2 linked regions of the Cricetulus griseus genome follow. The protein of the gene in region 2 interacts with the protein of the main gene of each other region in a biochemical or structural test. Links are inferred from orthologs where the notes say so. Each region holds a gene or a part of one and is shown on either strand. Other genes may lie near its edges. The genes, in order: Mbd1 and Atf7ip.

Evidence for each region.
Region 1: the proteins of Atf7ip (region 2) and Mbd1 form a complex in vitro, tested with the Homo sapiens proteins (2 studies listed by BioGRID). The link is inferred for Cricetulus griseus from reciprocal best matches to the Homo sapiens genes ATF7IP and MBD1.

What each region holds. Positions count from the first base shown.
Region 1 is NC_048595.1:165,544,808-165,548,631, forward strand, and holds part of Mbd1 (methyl-CpG-binding domain protein 1), read right to left. Parts: intron 1,906-3,824; coding exon 1,791-1,905; intron 1,702-1,790; coding exon 1,532-1,701; intron 1,455-1,531; coding exon 1,372-1,454; intron 1,131-1,371; coding exon 1,090-1,130; intron 717-1,089; coding exon 570-716; intron 479-569; coding exon 350-478; intron 1-349. UniProt on the Homo sapiens protein: Transcriptional repressor that binds CpG islands in promoters where the DNA is methylated at position 5 of cytosine within CpG dinucleotides. Binding is abolished by the presence of 7-mG that is produced by DNA damage by methylmethanesulfonate (MMS).
Region 2 is NC_048601.1:12,458,574-12,462,497, reverse strand, and holds the start of Atf7ip (activating transcription factor 7-interacting protein 1), read left to right. Parts: upstream 1-925; 5' UTR 926-1,213; coding exon 1,214-1,230; intron 1,231-3,924. UniProt on the Homo sapiens protein: Recruiter that couples transcriptional factors to general transcription apparatus and thereby modulates transcription regulation and chromatin formation. Can both act as an activator or a repressor depending on the context.

The sequences.
Region 1 (3,824 bases), on a different chromosome or scaffold from region 2:
CTTGGTGGTACCAAGTAGACACTGGACCCCCGGGGAGTGCAGGAGCCATGCACTGACTGGTCAGGTGGAGTGTGCAGTCAGACACTCACAGTGGGGGAAACCACAACCTGGGGAGGGCACCGGTGACATCCTTGAGGGTGGCCACGGAAACGATGAGCAAAGTGCTGGCAGAGAAAGGCAGATAGGCAGAACCAAGGAGGTGAGCATGGGACAGAAAAGAAAATATGACATGAGGCAGGCAAAGCCAGATTAGGCGGAAGCAACAGCAGCCATGGTGGTAAATTTAATAGCAGAATGAGCACTGGCCCAGCCTTTGCTCCACCAGCACTGGTCTCTCAGCCTGACTCACCCAAAAGCAGCGCCGCTGCATACACCTCCACTGGCGCTTGACACCAGGGCGGGAAGGGCGAAGGCAGACTCGGCAGCGGCCACAGTCTTCTTGGGTCTGACAGCCCCGACACACTCCACACCCTCGACTCTGTGGGGGCCGGAGTTGTGATGTATGGGGTCAGGGCCTTGAAGGCCAGGGACTGAGGAGAGCCTTGGCACACCTCATCTGACTGACTCACCTTCTCCACAATCCGCAGGCAGCGTCTCTGCTCACACTTGCAGAAGAGTCCTGAGGCTACATCATGGGGCAGCTGCAGGCGGCAGATAGAGCAAGTCCCACAGTCTTCTTTTACCAGGCAAGCTGTACACTCTCCACAGCCAACTCTCTGTCAGAAATGTATGGGGTAAGATTAGAAGCCTAGACAGGGGACTCAAGGACCACTATCCTTCCAAATGTTAGCCATGCTTATTAGTCTCCCGTTAACCTCTTTACTCTAGCTAATAAACTACTGATTAGCTTACCAACACCAAGGCCACTACTGTTCCTTCTACTAGTGCTCTGTTAAATTCATCCCTGTGTCTACTAGTACCCCATTAATTACCATTATTGCATCTACAAACTAACCAACAGCAGGTCTCAATTTAAAAAACAACAACAAAAACAAAAAAACAAAAAAGACCTGTCATGACTCCTAAACCCTCCATCAGTCCTATGACATCCTGTTCTCTTATAGACTATGGGAAATATACTGTTCTTACCCTAAACATTCTCTGTTCTCGGTTGAAGGCAATTCTCTGTGCTGGTGGAAGAAGGAAGAATGGTGAGAAATGGAAAAGAAGCAACAGACACAGACATATGGCTTCAGCTACTATCTTAACCCTGACTCTCACTGTTCTACATATGCCAATAGAGTAGGGTCACAGGCTGATTCCATATATGCCCAAAGCCGCTATCCTATCCTGACATGTACTGTATAACCTCCAGCTTAGCCTGGCACTGGATCTAATATGTGGTTTGTCTCCTAATTCCTAGGGACTTACCTCGGCAGTCTTTGCACAATGTCTTAAGCCTCTGCCTTTTGACACCATCCCATGAGAAGTGGTTTCCACAATTCTCACAGCACCTAAAATTAAAAGAGCAGAGCTATGTACTCCCAATCCCAAGCCTCACCCACCTGGCTAACCTTAAGCCAACACTCACCCAGGTGCAGATAATGAAGCTGGAGCTGTGCCAGTGCCAGCCTTATTCTCATCCTGTGGAGTCTCCTTCTTGACCTCACTCTTCTGAGGCCCAACCTGACGTTTCTTGACCTTGGATGGTTTAGAAGGCTTCTTTTTCTGCTTGCTAGGGACAGTCACGGGATGATGGGTCTAGAGATGAAGACAGGAAGAGTGTGGGTTAGTACATGGGTATCACGTGACACAGGTGCCCTGGCACGGACACTGACATTGTGAAGTACCTTGGGAGCTGGATAGCACAAGATGCCTTGTCTGAAGTCAAAGAGGGTAAGATCACATGCGGGGCCTAGGTATCGAGTCAGCTCAACTTTGCTTCGAATCTTGTCTCCTGTGGGGCTGAAAATGAACCACAATGAGTTGGCACCAAGAGGGAGCTAATGTCATGCCACCCACACAACATCCCCACAGATTTGGTGAGATGCAAGAAGCAGTCTGGATTCAGCCTGTGAGCCCCACCCAAGTCCTACCTCAATACAAGTAACAGGAATACAAAATATGAATATAAATACCATCATGCACACAAATGTTAATAAATAATAGAGCTGTGAACCTCATTTTGATCCATGCCATCACATATTCTATAGTAAATCCATAAAATTATAATACAGGGGAAAATTCTATTATCTGGCAATACTATACACACAACATTATACAGGCATCTGTAGTGATGTTAGTGTAAACAAACCTAGTGTAATACCACAGTACATACTTGATTAATAATAACTACAATTACTGGTTTATGAACTTAGTGTGATTTTTATCATTTTAGAGTCCTACATATGAAAAAAATTAATGTACTGTGAAACTGCAATGTTAGACTAGTAGTACCCTGATATAATTAAATGATTATTGCTTCTCTTGACTTCCTAATTCTCTCTAGTGTTTGATTTAATCTCGGGATTTTTATTCAGCAAAGGAGCATATTCCATAGCATATACAGTTATGTGGTATCCAACAATGCTCTCATCAATAATCAACTATATATACATGACAGTCCCTAAGATTATACTTTCTAATGACACCACACGTCCTAGCTTTATAATCTATGATTTTAACATGAAAAAATCATTTATAACATGTTCTCAGAATGTATCAGTACCAATAAGCAATGTATGACTATATGAATATTTAGCTTAGGTGTATAGTGTAGTGTACTATATCACTGAGTTTGTGTATTCCTCAGATTGTATTACTATTGGTAACTGTGCATAGACACATAAGCAGGCAGGGCACTGTACACATGCCTTTAATCCCAGCACTTGGGAGGCAAAGGCAGGTGGGCGGATCTCTGAGTTTAAGGCCAGCCTGGTCTATACAATCAGTTCCAGTATACCCAGGGCTCAGTAGAGAGAGACCCTGCTCCAAAATAAATAATAATGAAGACACATAAACATACTTACAACATGTAACACCATTAGTGTTGAAAATATGAGTAAAAATCAACACAAAATAGTAAGTAAGTAAGATATAAATATGTATTTTGGTTTGTTTTGCTTTGAGATGGGGATATCATTTTAACCCAAAGGGCTTTGAAACTCATATGTAAAGAAAGATGAACTTCTGATCCTCCTGCTTCTACCACCCCAGTGCCAGTTTTTCAGAAGTGTATATAGTACTAGAAATCAAACTCAAGGCTCCAAGAACACTAGACAAGTACCCAGTACTCAAATGTTATGTATTACATACCAAATGCATGATCATAAAAGCTTATAACAGAACTATTTTTTAAAACATGAAAATGAAATTATATTCAATACAAAGTATAAGTAGCTAATGTTGAGGGATGACATTCTAGGTCTTTTCACTTCTGCAAGAATCATCAGAGGCATTCATTATCTCCTGAAACAAACTACCTTCTCATTGTTTGTAAAAACAGGTAACTTTTGAAAAGGTCCCCTCCCTTCCAGGGGAAAGGACAGCAATGCTTATCATACTGATACTTGATTTTCTAAACTCAAATACACAGGCTGCCTTTCCTATATACAGTGCAGCATATATGCTACTTAGCCCTCTTCATGTCATCCTATGGGGATTGGGATTCTAAGAAATGCCAAAAACAGGTATTTTAGGCTCTGATACTACTGTGAGAAATTTTTTTTATATCTGGCCCAGGAAGTATCACATTTCCTATCAGCATCCACAAAACTAACAAACCCATTTACTAGTCTGATAAATATGTATCTTTTGACAATTACTTGTAAGTTTTGAAATTTTTATACAATTTCATATGTGGAAAAAGTTAAAAACATAAAAGT
Region 2 (3,924 bases):
CCAAGTATTAGACACATTTTATGGAATGTTTCAAATATGTACATAAAATGAGACAATGATCGTCTTTTAGTTGGTTTTTGCCACCTCTTTTAAAAAGTTGTAAGAAATGCCAACATTTCGATAGACATGACACAGGGTAATTAAACTTGAGGACTGAATACCAAAGAAGATGGAAGAAACTGGGCTCCATAGCTGATGGCAAAGGAAGCAGAAGAGGTCCTTTGTGTTGCCTCCCTTTCGCCTGTTCTGCGCCCGCCCGCCTGTGTCTGTGCCAGGCCTGTTTTGCTGGCAGTGTTCTCAGATTTGGCTAAGTGTCGGTCCCTCTTCCAGACTGGCCTGGACCCTTTTGTCCTCCCTACTTTTCCTTCCCAGAGAGTCTGCATCCTCCCTGACTTTTTCCTGTGCCACCTGAGAGTGTGTCTGTCACATCTGGACCACAAAGAGAAGAAATGTTTGATTTTATGAGAAATTACTAAATTAAGCTTTGTTGCCACCTTAGACTTTATTGTTAAAATTAGAAAATGTGGTTGTAAACTTGGATTGAGCACTTCTGAAGATTAGATTCTGTGGGGAAATTTTTAATTAGCTTTTTAAGATTAAAATTAACTTGATCTAATGAATATAAGATTTAAACAAATTTGACACTCTTCTTTTGATGGATGTATTCTATTAAAGGTAAAGAAGAAAAAGTAAAAAAAAAAAAAAAGGGTCTTGAGCTGGGTTTGAGGGGTTTGACTTTTTTCCTCCCCTTTTTTTCTGGACTGAAATGGAGGCTTTCTTTCAGGCGAATTCCCTAGTGTTTGCTCTGTGTGATCTGGCTCTATCTCTGTAACTGCTAAAATGTGGCATGGATTTCAAGTTGTTTGGGATCGGAATGTGCCCAAAGTCTGTTGCAAGTCCGGATTCACAGGCATTTTGTTGTAAAACTGGCTTGTTGCCTTCCGTTTTCTTTTTCTGTGTGCTAAGTAGCTGCATTGTTTGTTGCAGTATATGCATTAGCTATCTGTGTTCAGTTTCCTGCAGGCTGACAAAGTGGGCGGGGCTTTCTTTGATACATGGCTGAGTTTTCACTGTGTGAGTTCTTGAGTGCACGTTGCAGCCATCTTAATTACACTTTTGTGCAACTGAGACTGTGCAGCTGTCTCAAAATGGCTGCTAACCCAATCTCTGAGGCTGCTTAGGCAGCAGATCTGCCAGTGAAGAGACTTGTCACATGCATCAGGATCTGAGGTAAGAACCAGTAAGCTTTTATCTTTAAACATTACAATTAGAAAACATTTGAACATAACCAGCTTTGTATAGGAAAGAGAATTTGCCTGTGAAGAAGTTGCAACGTTTTCTAAGAGCAGTAAACCTATATTAGAGAAACAGTATATTAGGATGGTGAGGTCAAAGGTTAAATTCCTGTGATTTCTCACCATTTTGTTGTCATTGCCAGAACATTTGATCACCACAGTAGTGCTTTTCAAACTCGAGTGACTTATTACTCCTTGTGTATTGGATAGTTAATTCATTAGATATTTGTAGAAATTCAAACAATGTATTAATTGAGCATTTTTTAAAAGAAATTATAAATTAGCCTTCTTTGGAAAGAGGAGTTTCTGCTTTTTAAAATGAGTTATTATTTGGTAGCTTTGTAAAAAGTACTAATTTGCTATATAAATCAGAAAAATAGTGTCTTTTTTATTTTTTATTATATGCTTCAGTGCTTTCTCATGTACTGCTTTTTATTTTATAATTAATATATATTTATAATATCTCACTTTTTCTTTATTTTTTGTTTGAATTGACATTTGAATCCAGATTTTAAATTTTAGAATAATTTTACATATAGACCTCAGACCTTTTTATTTTTAAAATCTAATGTAGACTGATAACTAGAGAGCTGGAATAAATACTGTTTTAATTAACTAAGTGACATTATTATGTATATTTAAAACTTAACATTCAAAGGGATTATAAATTTAAAGGTTTTTTAGCATTGTAAAACAGAAATATTTGCTGAACTAGTAGAGTATACAGTTTCATGGTTACCTAGCAAGTTGGGAGAATAAATTTTTCTTCCTTCCTTTTTCTTTCTTTAGACATGATCTCAGTGTGGTCCAGTGTTGGCTCTAGTTTGCTGAGTAGCCTAGGTTGCCTTGGGCCCCTTACCTCCAGCCTCTGTCTCTCCAGGACTGGGATCACATGCATACATGCTGCCATGGATTCCCAAAAGAGGGAATGGAATTTAATCACATAATTTGGGGAGAACAGTTACATTTTAAGCGGTGCTTCAGTTATAGTAATTACTGAATTGTTTTCTGAATGGTACATTATACTCCTGTAATTGTGTCAATAGAATATTTTAAACATATTCTTGACTAATACAATAGAGAACAGTTCTGAACATTCTGTATAGAGCTTTTATTTTCCATTTTTGTAAGGTTTTACTCTTTTTACCCCTCCTTCTCTGTTTTTACTTTTTTAAAAACAGATCTGGCCTTGACTTTGCAATCCTCTTGCTTCAGCCTCCCAGAATTATAGGCAAGTACTACCAAGTCTGGTTCTAAAAGCAACTTTTAAAACAGCAAATAATTAGATTTTTGCAAATTCTTAAATTCTTAGGGAAGGCCCCAACATATCCAACATATTAAAAGCTTACACATGAAATTTTATTTTGTACTTATTTTATAGTATGGATTTATAAAATTTACTTGTTATAATTGTATTTAATAAATGAGGTATTATAACAAAACTTCGAAATGAGAGCACATATGACGTTTAGAAGTTTATATTATTGTGCAGATCTAGTTCACTTAGCCTCTAATGCACTATGGAATTCTGTTTGAAATTTATCCTTGAATGCATCTACTTTTTTCTTTCTTTTTTTGTTTTCTTAAAGATGTAGACTAAAATATTAGATCTGCTACTTAATAGTTGAAAATTGCTACCTTGTCATAAACATAAATTTATACTTGCTCTTGGTTTTATATATATATATAAAGTGTGTGTATCTATATACATAGATATATACATACAAGTTTAATATAAATTTTTTGTAATTTAATCACAAGTAAAATGATGACTCATCATAATTTGAATGATAATTCATATAATCACCTGGAAATGTTCATTTGCCTCAAAAACAGAAACAGGAAAACTTGCTTTGTGTGAACGTGTGAGCAAGTCTGCTTTCCTTTCTGCTCAGTAGCATGACAGGAGAGGGAACTACTCCAGCCTCAGTCACTCCTTTTCATGTCTGAGTAGTTCAGTGTCTTGGTGGAAGAATGGAAGGGGATTATGGGATTTAAATATGTAGATCTGAAGATAGCCACTTGGTCTTTAATGTGGAGGAAAATGGATTAGGTTGACATTAGTGAACAGTTTATGTTGGCATTCACGTTTTTTGCCTTTTGTTGCTGAGTGTAGAGTTTACACTCATACTTACCAGTTATGCATGGGGAAATCTAAACTCTGGTTACTTAGGCTATCATTGCTAACTTTACATTGCTGTTTTCCATTTCTATAAGCATAGACTAGATCTTGGATAATTTTGTGTTGGTTGCAGCTTTAAAATTTCTGTGATGAATTACTTATTTATTACTAGTACTACTACTATTATTATTATTAATTTTTGGCTTTTTGAGACAGGGTTTCTCTGTCTGTAGCTGTGGCCCTCTGTGTGTAGTCCTGACTTTCCTGGAACTTGCTTTGTAGACCAGGCTAGCCTTGCACTTACAGAGCCTCCCAAGTGCTGGGACTGAAGGCATGCACCACCACTGCCTGGCTTGGAAACTGAATTCTTGAGGCCATTTATATTGTCCATTCTTCTTTCTCCTCCCTATCGCTTACCCCTTTTCATAGGCTACTTAAAAATAGATTTAGTGTAAGTCTCAAAAGTTCATTGATTCAAGTCGACATTTCAATATGAATCCCCTTTTG